2 linked regions of the Callithrix jacchus genome follow. The protein of the gene in region 2 purifies or fractionates together with the protein of the main gene of each other region. This does not show direct contact. Links are inferred from orthologs where the notes say so. Each region holds a gene or a part of one and is shown on either strand. Other genes may lie near its edges.

Region 1 (7,551 bases), on a different chromosome or scaffold from region 2:
TTTCCTGGATTCAATCTCAGATCACTTCCTTTCCCCTGTCCAGAAATCAAAATCCATCTCCTCACATCTTAACCTTATGTTCCAAGCCAGTTCCCAGCAACTGCCTAGAAACAGAGATATTGTAATGCCCAGTCAGCCCTCATCATCACTTTACCTGTTCCAGGTCCACATCATCTGCCAGCTTCATGTTCTTGGTATGGATCTGAAGAATTTCCAAGCGTCCTGTAGCATCAGGAATTCCAATATCTACCTCCCGGTCAAAACGACCTGTGGGACAGTACATGAACACAGACAGGGCTCATTTCTAGTCCAGAGGGAAGAGACAGGCCTAGCAGGACCAACCATCTCAGTTAGCATAGGATTGTCCTGATGTTAGCAGTGAAAAAGTCTCAAACCCTGGGAAACCTTTCAGTTTCAGGAAAACCAAGTGGTTGGTCAGTCTAGACAGGATGCAGGATAAGGGAAAAAGACCCCTGGACCTAATCACTGCAAAGGGCTTCAAGAGGATTAAGTGACTTAGATGAAGGAGAGAGGTGAGATGTAAGCAAGGGCAGGGTTGGATATATCTGGAGTGCTTACCAAATCGCCGTAGAGCTGGGTCAATGCTGTTGGGTCTGTTGGTTGCTGCCATGACAATAACATGTGCTCTCTGCTTTAGGCCATCCATGAGGGTCAACAACTGTGATACAATACGCCGCTCCACCTCGCCATGTGTCTGCCAGAACAGGATGTCTGGTCATAAGTGAAGTTAGAGCCTTTCAACCCCCCACTATCCCTTCAGGTAAGCTCCTACTTTCTCTCTTTTGGGAGCGATGGCATCCAGCTCATCAATGAAAATGATGGCAGGAGCATTCTTCTCAGCCTCCTCAAAGGCTTTACGAAGGTTGCTCTCAGACTCACCAGCCAATTTGCTCATGATCTCAGGACCTGAAAGAATACAGAATGGAGGCAAAAACAAAATTATAGCCTTTCCTAATTACCCAAAAAACAGTTATCTTGCTTGTCTGGCTCAGAGACAGGTCCTGGTGAGAAGGTGGTGACCTTTGCCTACTTCTCAGATCCTCTACCAACCATTATCACAGGATAGCCACCAGTCCAGGCTAGAGAGAAGCCCAGGGACTCAGTATACTCTTCTCACAGTTGAACTAGAAGTATAAAGGTGACAGCAAATGCTCTGGGACCTATGGCTAGAGCAGGAGAGATGGCACACCAGCTAGATCTCTACCAGCTAACAGTATTCTCCAAGAGCCAGCAATCCAAGTTCATTTCCCCGAAAATCTCTCATATCAATAAGCATTCACCCATTAATTTCTCATTCTAGCTTGCTCCCACTCTTCGGTCTGTCCACAATCTTTCTCAAAGGGGACAGGACAGGGAGCACCAATGTAAAGTATCTTCCCTTTATTCTTCATCTGTCTGTAACATACCCCAGGAGAAGAAATATACTATAAAAGTGCAGGTGGGCATGAATGCAAAAGGGATCGGTCCATGAGCTCTCCAGCTCATGAGTCCCCATTCAAAATTGGGTCTAGCTAGACCTAAGATGAACCAAGTCTCTTACCATTGATCAAAAAGAAGAATGCTCCAGTCTCATTTGCTACAGCTCGAGCAATCAGGGTCTTCCCTGTCCCAGGAGGTCCATAAAGCAGGATTCCTCTAGGAGGCTGAGGACCAATGCAGAATGTGATTAGGTTCTCACCTTCTCCCAAACCCTAAAATGGATTGACTAGGGCTCCAGAGAGGGCGAGAATCAGTCTTCAACCCTGACAATATTAAGAATGAGCCCTCAGCAGTAAATGCTAGGAAGACAGCTTACTTTAGCCACACTAGCACAGAAAATACTGCTACAAAGTGAGCAACATTTATGATTGCAACTTGCATAGGAGACTAAGGGCAGAGAAACTCTAGTGAAAAATAAGTTTGAAGATACGTAACTAGGAAAAGGCAAAAGGACATTACACTAAGGGCTCAATTTCAGGCAGACCAAGGGCCAAAGACTAGCTAAGACATTTGAGAGAGCAGGGTCTATTTTCGTCATTGCCAGAGGATCACTTACTCCAGTAATCATACCTTCCAGAATTTATCACATTGGAATGATGTTCCTTACAATCACCAATCTTCTTCTTTGACACTACCCTTTCTATGGCCTTATTTACAAGCAGGACATTGAACATAGAAGATGAAATTATTTGTTTATTGACACATACTAAGGAAATGAGTAACTTCATTTTCAGTGTGTTCCACGATATAGAAAAGAATGGGAAACTACACTCTAGACCAATAGTTCTCAAATGTTTTAAACTCAGAACCCTTTAAGACTCTGAAAATTGCCGGGCGCGGTGGCTCACGCCTGTAATCCCAGCACTTTGGGAGGCCGAGGCGGGTGGATCACGAGGTCAAGAGATCGAGACCATCCTGGGTCAACATGGTGAAACCCCGTCTCTACTAAAAATACAAAAAATTAGCTGGGCATGGTGGCGTGTGCCTGTAATCCCAGCTACTCAGGAGGCTGAGGGAGGAGAATTGCCTGAACCCACGAGGCAGAGGTTGCGGTGAGCCAAGATCACGCCATTGCACTCCAGCCTGGGTAACAAGAGCGAAACTCCGTCTCAAAAAAAAAAAAGACTCTGAAAATTTCCTTAACTTGCTTACTTCTACCAGGTGACACTGCTCTAGATAGGCTGGCAAACTATGGTGAGATTTGATTTTACAGGGTCCACTGAGACAAGAATAGCTTTTACATTCTAAGAGCTGTAAAGAAAAAACCCATATATATGTGTGCATGTGTTTGTGCGCATATGCACACAACAGAGAATTTAATTAGCTTGCTCTGTTCTATACCATCAACTCTAATGAATTTAGAGCCTTCAGTGAATTAAAGGATTTATTACTGCCCCTCTAATCCAAGACAATAACAAAAGCCACGTATGAAAAAGTCCCAGGATCAGACATTGGGTAGTCATTAATCACCACTTTAAACTGGATCCCAGAGCCCAAAATGCTCACCTTCACACCAATTGCCTTAAAGAGGGCAGGATGTCTCAGGGGCAGTTCCACCATCTCCTTTATCTGAGCCAGCTGCTTCCTACAGCCACCAATATCATCATACCCTACTTCATTCAAGGACTCTTCCTCATCCTGAAAAAGAGATAAAGAAAGCAGAAGGCAAGAATATAATATCAGCAGAAGCTGAGTTTCTCTAAATCATTCCACTACCTAGTGTACAAAAACCTACCATATAAGAAGATTCTCAACCCAGCACGGTGGCTCACATGTGTAATCCCAGCACTTTGGGAGGCAGAGGTAGGACTGCTTGAGTCCAGGAGTTCTTGGGCAACATAGCGAGACCCTCATGTCATTAAAAATTAAATTAAATTGCCAGACGCTGTGTCTCATGCCTGTAATCCCATCACTTTGGGAGGTCAAGGCGGGTGGAACGAAGTCAAGAGATCGAGACCATCAAGATGGTGAAACCTCGTCTCTATTAAAAATGCAAAAATTAGCTGGGCATGGTGGCGCATGCCTGTAGTCCCAGCTATTCTGGAGGCTAAGGCAGGAGAATTGCTTGAACCCAGGAGGCGGAGGTTGCAGGAGCTGAGATCACGCCATTGCACTCCAGCCTGGGTAACAAGAGCGAAACTGTCTCAAAAAAAAAAAAAAATTAATTAAATTAAATTAAAAAGAGAAGATTCTCCTCTACAGGGATCCAGCCTCAAAGAACAGCTATAAAAATCCCAAGGCAAAGATTTCTAGCACAGTCCTTGCCTCTCACATTGCTCGTAGTCTTATTGAGAAGGGGGTCTCTAAAATCTGAGGCTGGAAACTCTGGGAATGGACAAAGGCCTTCAGCCACCATCAGCTATACTTCAAAATTGATTTCAATCACTTATATACTTTGGGTTCAGTCTAGATTTTTGAAATTCCTGGCATTAGGTATCTCCAAAAAACACCTAGACCCAGAAATGAATATCTGGCAGATTTCTCATCCCTGAAAGATGCTTAGTTCTCCAAAAAGCATCCAGTCTGTTTTTTTGTTTTTTTATTTTTGAGACGATCTCACTCTGTCACCAAGGCTGGAGTGCAGTAGCACAGTCTCAGCTCACTGCAACCTCTGCCTCCTGGATTCAAGCAATTCTCCTGCCTCAGCCTCTTGAGTAAGCTGGGATTACAGATGTGCGCCACTAGGCCCAGCTAATTTTTGTATTTTTAGTAGAGACAAGGTTTCACCATGTTGCCCAGGCTGGTCTCAAATGCCTGACCTCAAGTGATCTGTCCCCCGAGCCTCCCAAAGTACTGGGATTATAGGCGTAAGCCACTGCGGACAGCCGAGCACCCAGTCTTGACAGTTACCACATGATGCCACACTGAGTAATCACGAAATTGGATACTGTGATCAGGGAGAAAACTCACCTCTCGTTTGATAGGCTCCCCTTCGCAGTGGATCACTGTGTCTGGAGCAACAATGCAGTAAGGGCTAGGATCTGTTTCCACCACTTTGAACTCCACAGCACGCATCCCACCACGGACAAGAAAAATGTCTCCTGTGAGAGCAAGCAATACAAGCACAGTTAGAGGTGTCAGCTACAATACAAATTGAGAATTCATCAGACCCTGGGTCAAAATGCCAAGCTTATTAGGTATTGTCCTTCATTAGATATTACCCTCTCTCCAATGCCACCCCAACTGTCTTAATAAGTAGTAGGCAAAAGGAGAAAGGTAAACTGTGAAGAGTCCCTCTGCCACTCAGGAGGTTGGTGCAGAAAACCTGACATGCCAGAAGCCCATCAAGTTTTGACTTCTGCCATATAATTAGCCCAAGCTTTACTACAACCACCAATGCTAGAACTGTACACTTTGGACCCTGACATAGTCAAAATGGACCACCTTCTCCTTCAAAGATCCATAAGGATAGCTTACTCTCCTGGAACAGAGAAGGGGAGAGATGGAGGGAGAAAATGATGGAGGAAAAGAAGGGCAGAAGACATGAATCTGTATGCAGGATGCATGTGTGTATACAAATATATAAAAGTGAGACTAGGTATGATGGTTCATGCCTATAATCACAGCACTTTGGGAGGCCAAGGCAGGTGGATCACTTGAGCCCAGCAGTTTGAGACCAGCCTGGGCATCATAGTGAGACCCCATCTCTTTCTTTCTTTCTTTTTTTGAGACAGAGTCTCATTCTGTCACCCAGGCTGGAGTGCAGTGGCCTGATCTTTGCTCACTGCAACCTCCACTTCCTGGGTTCAAGCAATTCTCGTGCCTCAGCCTCCCAGATACCTGGGATTACAGGCACCCACAATGGGGTTTTGCCATGTTGGCCAGGCTGGTCTTGAACTCCTGGCCTCAGGTGATTCACCTGCCTCAGTCTCCCAAAGTGCTGGGATTGTAGGCGTGAGCCACGGCACTGGGCTGACCCCATCTCTTAAAAAATAAATAAATAAATACAAGGGAAAAGCATAAAAGATCAAAAAAAGAAGAAAAAGAAAATGAGATGAAGACATTCCAAGCTGAGTTTCTCTAAATCATTCCATGACCTAGTGTGCAAAAACTCAACAATCAACAATCCTTAAGCTCAGAATTAGCTCTCACCTTTCCGGATGGGTCGATAAGCTTCCAGGAAGTACGGCTTAAGGTATACCTCAAAGAGATTACCAGTAATGCCTTCCACCGTGTCATCAATAGGCAGCACATGGATACGTTTGCCATACTTCACATCAGGGCATGGCTGGATGCTGAGGATGACAAGCAGACTCCATATTACCAACCACACTTCGGGCCCAAGCACTGGGTGTCCAAAAGGGCCTGGCAGAGATAGCTGATAGTAAGTAAAAAAGAAAAGGCAGGGATGGCTTTAGGTGAAGAGCGGAAGGAGAACAGGGTGGAAGTGAGAGCAAAAGAACAGCCCCACTCACTCCTAATCAGTGAGCCAAAATCAAGAGCTACACATTTAGAAACCCCACAAAGATATGCTGAGTCTTCAGTGAGATATGCTAGGATAATCCCCTTAGCTAATATTGATGACCCAATATTACAAAAGAAGATCTTAAGCTAGTAATTGTCAGGGTCAGAGAAACAGAAGTGAAAAAAATAAAATTATCTCTGCCAGGTGGTCAGAACACCTTGAGAAAGTGACTAAGCACCATCAGGAAGAAAGTTACATGAAACTCAGACTCCATTAAAAAGTATCAGAAGCCTAAGATGATCCTGGCCAGGTGATGGTTGGCTGGATAGGAGTGGCAAGAGATGACTCCAAGTTGGGGTAACTTCTTGCCTAAAATTATGCAAGAATAAGCAAAATCACTCTCAATGGAGCTATCCTGGGTCTGACTTCAACTATCCCTTTCTCCCTAGTTAATTTAGGTGCTTAAAAGGTCTGCTACCAGCTCACCTTCCATGCCCATACCGCAACCTCATTCCAATCCGAAGCCATTAATTGGACATACTAGTGAGAGTAGTGAGGAGGTCATTTAGCAGATACATACCCTCAAGTGGCATCCTAAACCAAGCTTTAAGTATGATAAATTACATCTCTGGTAGGAAAAAATAGGGCATCAGGAAAGTTATAGGAATGCCAATTTGTCTCAAGGGACATTCAGAGAAAATCTGCGAATCCCAGGAAGGCAGAACCAAAATCTAAAGACAACCCTGAAGTGTAAGTCTTCCCATGGCCAGGAGGCTTCCTATATCTACAGGTGCCAAGAACTTGGTCCTGCCTGTGTAATACATGGGTCCTGCCTAGAATGCAGGCTATCTCTGGCCTCCCATCCCTGCAGAGCCAAAAACCACACACACACCTGATGACATCCCCTAGGCGTACACGAAGGTTATTCCGAACAACTCTATTCATTCGAATCTTCTCATCAGAACACGTGTCATCAGAAAGGACGATGCAAACAGCTTCTCGTCTCTTCTTTCCTTTCAGCAACACTGTGTCACCTCGGAACAACTGCAATTCATCCATCTTGGGCTGAGGAAAGAAGGTTAAGGCCTTTTGGTCACTGGGCAGAAGGGAGTAAGCAGCAGCCCTGGAGATTGGGAGTCCCAGTAAACCCCACTCTATCTGCAGTCACTGCAAGAAAAATGAGAAAAGAAACCTGGGAAAATCCCTCAAGTAAGTCCAATAAGGAAAGACTAGTCTGTGGCCTCAGCTTACCTGGGACAAGGACACCACACTGTTGTCCTCATTGATGGCTTCATCAACAATTAACCTATTGGGACGGTTCTTCTGTTTGAGAATGGCTGTTGATAAGTCATCACCTTTTGAACTAGAAGGAGAAAACTGAGTCAGTCCCAATAGATACTCCAGCCCCAAGAGCCTCACCAGTCTCTAAAACTCAAGAAAGAAATAGTGACTAGATGAAGCTGTCCCTAAACCAGAGAGCTCAGATGAAGGAAAGGCAGCCAAGGTCACAAGAAGAATATCTAGCATTAGATATATCCATTAGAATATCCATTCCACACACATTAGAATATCCATTCCATCAGCTCCTGGTATTTTGAGCATCAGTGTCCAGCTATAAGGCCCCAAGTGAGTAATCCTGCCCCAGG
Region 2 (7,437 bases):
CTGTGTTTTCATCAACTTTGGGTTGATGACATTTGAGATAGTCTCTTGCTCTGTCCCACCTCAGCCTCCTGAGGAGCTAGGACCACAGCACATGCCACCACACCCAGCTACATTTTTAATTTTTTTTATAGAGTTGGGGTCTTGCTATCTTGCCCAGAATTATGGGTGTGTGTGGGTGTGGATGTAGGTGTGGGTGGGGTGTGTGTGTGTGTGTGTTTAAAATATGGGACATGTATCTAAATGGTCCTGGCCCATGGAGTCATTAGTGGTTGGCAGTACATGGGTTGTTTCACCTCCGTATCCTTCCTCACATTTTTTTATTTGTTTTTGCCTTTTTGGTTGTTTTTTGTTGTTGTTGTTTGTTTGTTTTTGAGACAGAGTCTCTCATTGTTGCTGGGGCTGGAGTGCAATGGCGTAATCTTGGCTCACTGCAACCTCCGCCTCCCGGGTTCAAGCAATTCTCGTGCCTCAGCCTCCTGAGTAGCTGGGATTACAGGTGCGTGCCACCACATCCAGCTAATTTTTTGTATTTTTAGTGGAGATGGTGTTTCATTATGTTGGCCAGGCTGGTCTCGAACTTCTGACCTTGAGATTCACCTGCCTCAGCCTCCTAAAGTGCTGGGATTAGAGGCATAAGCCACTGCACCAGGCTGGTCTTGATTCCTGACCTCAGGTGATCTGCCTGCTTCGGCCTCCCAAAGTGCTGGGATTACAGGTGTGAGCAACTGCACCCAGCCAGGTTTTTGTTTTTTTGAGACAAGGTCTGGCTTTATTGCCCAGACTGGCTGGAGTGCAGTGGCACAATCTCAGCTCACTGTAACGTCCGCTTCCCTTGCTTAAGCCATCCTCCCACCTCAGCCTCCTGAGTGGCTGGGATTACAGGCATGCACATTGTACCCAGCTAATTTTTGTATTTTTATAGGCAGGGTTTCAACATGTTTTCCCAGGCTGGTATCAAACCCCTGGGCACAAGAGATCCTCCTGCCTTGGACTCAAAGTCCTGGGATTATAGGCATGAGCCACTGAGCCCGGCCTGTGTTTAATTTTTGACGAACTGCCCTGTTGTTTTTTCAGCAGCTGCACTATGCTTTCTTGTCCTGTTTTGCTCGGGTAGGTAGGTCTGCCGTTCTCAGTCACATGAAGTTTGGTCAGATACGATTAAGTTTGATACTGTGGAGTTCCCATCATTCTCTTGAATATCAGCCACTCTGCCTCTATCAGAGTTTTTTGGAATGTTCTCTAACAAATCTGGACCGTACTATGGGAAGGTGACAAAGTGTGATCTGTCTAGAAGCAGCCATACCTGGCTTTGTGTTGGTTTTATATTTTGTGCCACTGTCTTCTGGGTCTGTGTCTTGGCCTAGAGACAGCATTTCCACTAGTAGAATTGTCCAAGAGTCATGTCAAAAGCATATCAATTTGTGATGCGAAGACTAGCAGGTTGTCAGTCACCTGGGAGGTGGGCAGTACTATCCCAGTCGTGAAAGTGTGGAAGAAGAATGAATGGGATTTCTGCCGCTCTGCTGACTTCTTGGTGGAAGGGTTGGAATTAGGCCCAGGCAGGCTCAGTGTGCTGCATCATGTTCTTCATAATTTCTTACTTGGAAGATGTTTGAAAAAGAAGAATACATAGCGAATTCCTGGTGTAACTTCCACCTTTGATGATTAAAAATTGACCCGTTATTGCTGAACCGTTTGTGAAAGAACTGTATACATTTGGCACTTAGAATGAAACATCCAAGTCTCATGCACACATTGCCTGAAAAGACTCCCTGTCCAATGCGGCACTGTCAGCACAGGTGACCTCATCTGTACCAAGGCCTAATGTCATCTGCTGTCTCTCCATCCATACTCAAGATTTTCCCACTTGTCCAAAAATATGTTTTGAAACTCTGGGGTTAATTTAATCTTATTTTTTTGAAATGGAATTGGTTTGTGGTCGCCCAGGCTGGAGTGCGATGGCATGATCTTGGCTCACTGCAACCTCCGCCTCCCAGGTTCAAGGGATTCTCCTGTCTCAGCCTCCCGAGTAGCTGGAATTATTGTAGGTGCAGCCAGTAGCCCAGCAAAAAGAAATTTTTTAAGTAGAGACGTGGTTTCATCATGTTGGCCAGGCTGCTGTGGAACTCCTGACCTCAGGTGATCCACCCGCCTTAGCCTCCCAAAGTGTTGGAATTACAGGTGTGAGCCACTGCGCCTGGCCTTGTTCTGTTTCTTTTTTGTTTTTGTTTGTTTCTTTTAAACGGGATTTCATTCTTGCTGCCCAGGCTGGAGTACAATGGCACGATCTCAACTCACTGAAACCTTTACTGCCTGGGTTCAAGCAGTTCTCCTGCTTCCACCTCCCAAATAGCTAGGATTATTAATAGCTAGGTGGCACGTGCCACCACGGCCAGCTAATTAAAAAAAAAATAATTTTAGGCCAGGTGCTGTGGTTCATGCCTATGATCCCAGCACTTTGGGAGGCCAAGGTGGGTGGATCACCTAAGATCAGGAGTTCGAGACCAGCCTGGCCATTATGGTGAAACCCCATCTATCTATTTTTAAAATATATATAGATGTTTGTTTGTTTGTTTGTTTGTTTTTGAGATAGTTTTGCTCTTGTTACCCAGGCTGGAATGCAATGGCGCGATCTCAGCTCACCGCAACCTCCGCCTCCTGGGTTCAAGCAATTCTCCCGCCTCAGCCTCCTGAGTAGCTGGGACTACAGGCGCGCGCCACCATGCCCAGCTAATTTTTGTATTTTTAGTAGAGACAGGGTTTCACCATGTTGACCAGGATAGTCTCAAATCTCTTGAACTCGTGATCCACCCGCCTTGGCCTCCCAAAGTGCTGGGATTACAGGCATAAGCCACTGTGCCCGGCCCTTTTTTTTTTTTCTTTTTGGTTGAGACGGGTTTTTCCATGTTGGTCAGGCTGGTCTCAAACTCCTGACCTCAGCCTCCCAAAGTGCTGGGATTACAGGCGTGAGCCATCACGCCTGGCCTGTTTTGTTTTTTAACCAGCAGTGCTTCTGGATTCAAAAGCTCTCAGGACCAGTGCCCATACATTTCATCTAGTTGTCACGTACTCATCAGTTTCTCAAACTGGAATTGTTCCCCCCTTGCATTTATTTCCACAACATCAGCCTCTTACAGAGTCTGGGCCGTTTGTCTTGTGTGGGTTGTTCATCATCTGGAGTTGTCTTTCCTGATGTGTCACCTCTGTGTGGTGCTGGGTCAGGCTTTAAGAGTTGGAAGTCCACATGCTCGAGCTGCCTGTAGTGAGCTTGTCCAAGGGAATGAGCCTAATTTCTTTCTGCCGCTTCTTCCTAGGACTGTGAGGAATGTATCCAGCTGGAGCCGACCTTCAGTAAGTGCCTTTTTGCTGCCTGTCCCGTGTTTCTAGCCAAAAGATTAGAGAAGGAAAGGGCAAGTCCTTTGTCTACCTGTGTGTCCTTGGGACCTGTAGCATTTAGGACCCAGCATCAGCAGGCGTGAACGGTGTTGGTCACAGCAGGTGAAGAGGCACAGAGAGCAGCCTTGGACACTACTTGTGGATAATGTGCCACCTCTCCTGTTTGTAGTCAAGGGTTATACCCGGAAAGCTGCTGCCCTGGAAGCGATGAAGGACTACACCAAAGCCATGGATGTGTACCAGAAGGCGCTCGACCTGGACTCCAGCTGTAAGGTGGGGCTGCTTCTGGCCTCCCGGGGACAACTCCTGCCTCTTTCTCTGTTGGGTCTTTTCCGTGTTCAGTCCCTGATATCTTTCCTGTCGCCTCCATTTCTCTGGGTTTCTCTCTTACTTGCTGTCTATCCCCCTTGTCAGTTACCTATTATCTTGGGCCTGCTGAAGCAGTGAGCCGGGTGGTGGTCACACTCTTCCCCTTTGTTTCCTCTGGACTGCAGGAGGCGGCAGACGGCTACCAGCGCTGTATGATGGCGCAGTACAACCGGCATGATAGCCCCGAAGATGTGAAGCGACGAGCCATGGCCGACCCCGAGGTGCAGCAGATCATGAGTGACCCAGCCATGCGCCTTATCCTGGAACAGATGCAGAAGGACCCCCAGGCACTCAGCGAGTACGTAGAGTCAGAGAGACAGCCTTGCTGGACATGGGGAACAAAAGCAGGCAGATGAGAGTGCACGCAGCTGGGAGGGTTGTGCTCGGTCTCTGAGGAAGAGGAATTGTATCATTCCTCCCAAACCTATGGAGATTGGCAGCGGGCGTTGAGCTGGAAGGGCTTTGTTTGTTAGTTGTGATAGCTTAAGCAATCATTTGGAAAGCCAATTGAGCTGGGAGAAAGGTCTTGGCTGGAAGCTGTGGTGTGGGCTTGGAGTCTGACTGACAAGTTCTGCAAGGTGGAGCAGGCCTTTGCAGTCTGCGCGCCCAGCCTCGCCAGGACTCCTCCCTGCCAGGGCCTTCTGTGAACGGGGGTTGAATTGGAGCTTGCTCGGAGAGCAAGGTTGTCTCATTTCATATAACTGCCTCTTCCTTCGTAGACACTTAAAGAATCCTGTAATAGCACAGAAGATCCAGAAGCTGATGGATGTGGGTCTGATTGCAATTCGGTGATGACTTGTTCATCCCCCCCTTCCCTTCACCCTCATGTGGAAAGAGGAGCTGGGACCGCGGCGAGCAGCACGGAGCAAAAGGGAGAGCAGGGGGAAAGAAGGCCTCATCTCTATATTTATACATAACCCCGGGAAGACACAGAGACTTGTATTGACGCTGTTCGTGCCGCCGCTGCCTCTGGGCCTTCCCAGCACACGCATGGTCTCTTCACCGCTGCCCTCGAGTTCCGTGTCTCCTTCCCCTGCCCCTAGTCGCTGTCTCAGCTGCTCTCCCATAGTTGGTTATTTTTTATTTGGGGCAGTGGGCATGTATGGGGAGGGAAGGGGGCTCTTCCCAGCCTCAGGTCCCAGCTGTCTCGTGTTGTTTATTCCACGTCCCCTTCTCCAATAAAACAAGCCAGTTGGGCGTGGTTATATGTTGCTTTGGCCTTGAGTGATTTTTTTTTTTAACCAAAAGTTGGTCTTGCAGAGGCTGCTCCTGGAACCTGAGCTTGTTCTCTCTGAGGGGGGCCTAGTAGGAGTCAGGTGCTTGGCAGAGCTCCCTGGCTTTGCTGAGAGGGTTGCCAGGTGGCGCTGTTGCTCAGCAGCTGGAAGGGAATCTGGAGGCTTCCCCACCCCAAGTGGTACCAATGAGAGGTTCAGATAAGCTTTGGGATAACTCTAGTGCTTTGAATTCACGTTACAATCTCAGAGAAACTGGCTACATCCAGAGCTCAGTGGGTCCAACCCAGGAATCAGCGTTCTTTTTTTTTTTTTTTTTTTTTTTTTTTGAGACATAGTCTTACTCTGTTGCCCTGGCTGGAGTGCAGAGGCAAGATGCCTGCTCACTGCAACCTCTGCCTCCAGCGTTCAGGTGATTCTCTAGCTTCAGCCTCCTGAGTAGCTAGGACTATAGGTGCATGCCACTAAGCCCGGCTGATTTTTTTTATTTTTAGTGGAGATGGGGTTTCACTGTATTAGCCAGGGTGGTCTCGATCTCCAGACCTCATGATCCACCCGTCGTCTCAGCCTCCCAAAGTACTGGGATTACAGGTGTAAGCCACCTTGCCTGGCCAGAATCAGGGTTCTAATGTGAGATGCTGAGACCTCTGGGGAGAGGCACCTCTGCTGTCAGCTGCTGTTAGATGTAGGAGTTGGGTCATGGATTTATTTTTTGGGTTTGCCTTTGGTTTTGTTATTTGAGACTGAGTTTCAGGCTGGAGTGCAGTGGCACTCTCAGCTCACTGCAGTCTCCACTTCCTGGTTTCAATCGATTGTCCAGCCTCAGCCTCCCCAGTAGCTGGGATTACAGGTACCTGCTGCCACACCCAGCTAATTATTTTAGTAAGACAGTGTTTCACCATATTGACCAGGCTAGTCTCAAACTCCTGACCTCAAGCGATCCACCTGCCTCAACCTCTCAAATCCTCATGCTGGGATTATGAGCATGAGCCACCATGCCTTGCTGGGTGATGGTTTTAAAGAACGCACGGCTTGGTGGGTCACCCGAGGTCAGGAGTTCAAGACCAGTCTGACCATCATGGGGAAACCATGTCCCTACTAAAAATATAAAATTAGCCGGGCGTGGTGGCACATGCCTGTAATCCCAGCTACTTGGGAGGCTAAGGCAGGAGAATCACTTGAAGCTGGGAGGCAGAGGTTGTGGTGAGCCGAAGCCTGGACAACAGAGCGAAACTGTCTCAAAGAAAAGAATGCATGGCTCTCACCTGAGAACTTAGGGTGCTAAGCTTTAATTAGACTTTTCCATGGTTGCAACAAACTGCGTTTTCTAAAGCTCTCTTCCTGGACTGGGCAGGCTTCTTGGGCAGGAGTGAAACTTCCTCATTTGCTCCAAGAGTGCTGCTTTCTGGGCTAGGAAGCCGCTGAGACTAGCAGGTGGCTGGACTTCTGCTGCTAGTTCTGTCAGCTGACTTTTCCCCTGGGAATCCCCGGCAGGCCTCCTTCCCCATCTGGGTGGCCACAGTCAGGCAGTCCCCACTCCTCGACAGGACTCTGCCGCCCCCAGGCCTGTCCACCCTCTGTGCTGCAACCCCCAGTGTATTCCCTGAAAAGGCCGTCATCCGGTGCAGAGCTGGTGGCAGATATAATCTTGGTCTACTGGAGCCCATGTCCTAGGGCAGGTGATGGGCAGGAGGGTGATAGACTGCCAGAAACCCCTAAGGTGACCCCTAAGCATGGACGTGATGGGAGTGAGCCTCCGGGTTCTGGGGCAGGCACATCCAGGAGGGACATAGTGGAGGTATTACATTTGGAGCTGGGGGCCCTGAGGGCCCGGGAGGTTGTGGATGGTCAGGGCCAAGTTCTGTTCCGATGGAGTGGTCACCTGGCAGGTCTGAGTTCATGAGTTTGGAAGTAGCCCAATGTGAAGCTACGAAAAACTGCAAAATGGACTTGTTTCCCTCTGGGGTAGGCCTTGAGGGATCCTTGGTTGACAGGGACAGCCAGGCTGGAGCCGATTAGACTTGGGTCCCAAATAACCTGGATCCACTCTGCCAGCTCCTGGGCTATCCCTCTGGCAGCCCAGTGATGTTTTAAAGCCTGAGGTCCCCACCTCATGACAGGCTGGGGATGGGAGATGCTTCCCACAAAGGCAGACCTAGCCCTGAATGCAAACGGTGGGAGGGGCTTGTTGAGTTCAACTGAGCTTCCCTCAAATGAGGCAGGGGACGATTTCATGGTTTTGAGTCATTAAGCTCTGCTCTTCTGTGCTCTCTGGGGACAAAGGTGGGGGCCCCTGGAGCCCTCTGCGGGCTGGCAGCGTGCTTCCTGCACCCAGCGCCAGCCCGCCCTGGGGAGGGGCTGAGCCCGCCCTGCTGATAAAGCAGAGAGGCAAGGGCTGACCTGAAGGAAGCTCCAAAGAGAAAGGAGGGCAGGAAGCCCA

The links. The genes of interacting proteins can lie anywhere in the genome.
Region 1: the proteins of STIP1 (region 2) and VCP purify together in Homo sapiens (affinity purification with mass spectrometry; 4 studies listed by BioGRID, with this or other methods). This does not show direct contact. The link is inferred for Callithrix jacchus from reciprocal best matches to the Homo sapiens genes STIP1 and VCP.

What each region holds. Positions count from the first base shown.
Region 1 is NC_133502.1:141,941,460-141,949,010, forward strand, and holds part of VCP (transitional endoplasmic reticulum ATPase), read right to left. Parts: intron 7,269-7,551; coding exon 7,157-7,268; intron 7,073-7,156; exon of another isoform or gene 6,971-7,072; coding exon 6,798-6,970; intron 5,736-6,797; coding exon 5,593-5,735; intron 4,542-5,592; coding exon 4,411-4,541; intron 3,139-4,410; coding exon 3,007-3,138; intron 1,665-3,006; coding exon 1,562-1,664; intron 928-1,561; coding exon 794-927; intron 716-793; coding exon 580-715; intron 268-579; coding exon 155-267; intron 1-154. UniProt on the Homo sapiens protein: Necessary for the fragmentation of Golgi stacks during mitosis and for their reassembly after mitosis. Involved in the formation of the transitional endoplasmic reticulum (tER).
Region 2 is NC_133511.1:121,254,078-121,261,514, forward strand, and holds the end of STIP1 (stress-induced-phosphoprotein 1), read left to right. Parts: intron 1-3,314; coding exon 3,315-3,351; intron 3,352-3,565; coding exon 3,566-3,669; intron 3,670-3,890; coding exon 3,891-4,063; intron 4,064-4,484; coding exon 4,485-4,557; 3' UTR 4,558-4,976; downstream 4,977-7,437. UniProt on the Homo sapiens protein: Acts as a co-chaperone for HSP90AA1. Mediates the association of the molecular chaperones HSPA8/HSC70 and HSP90.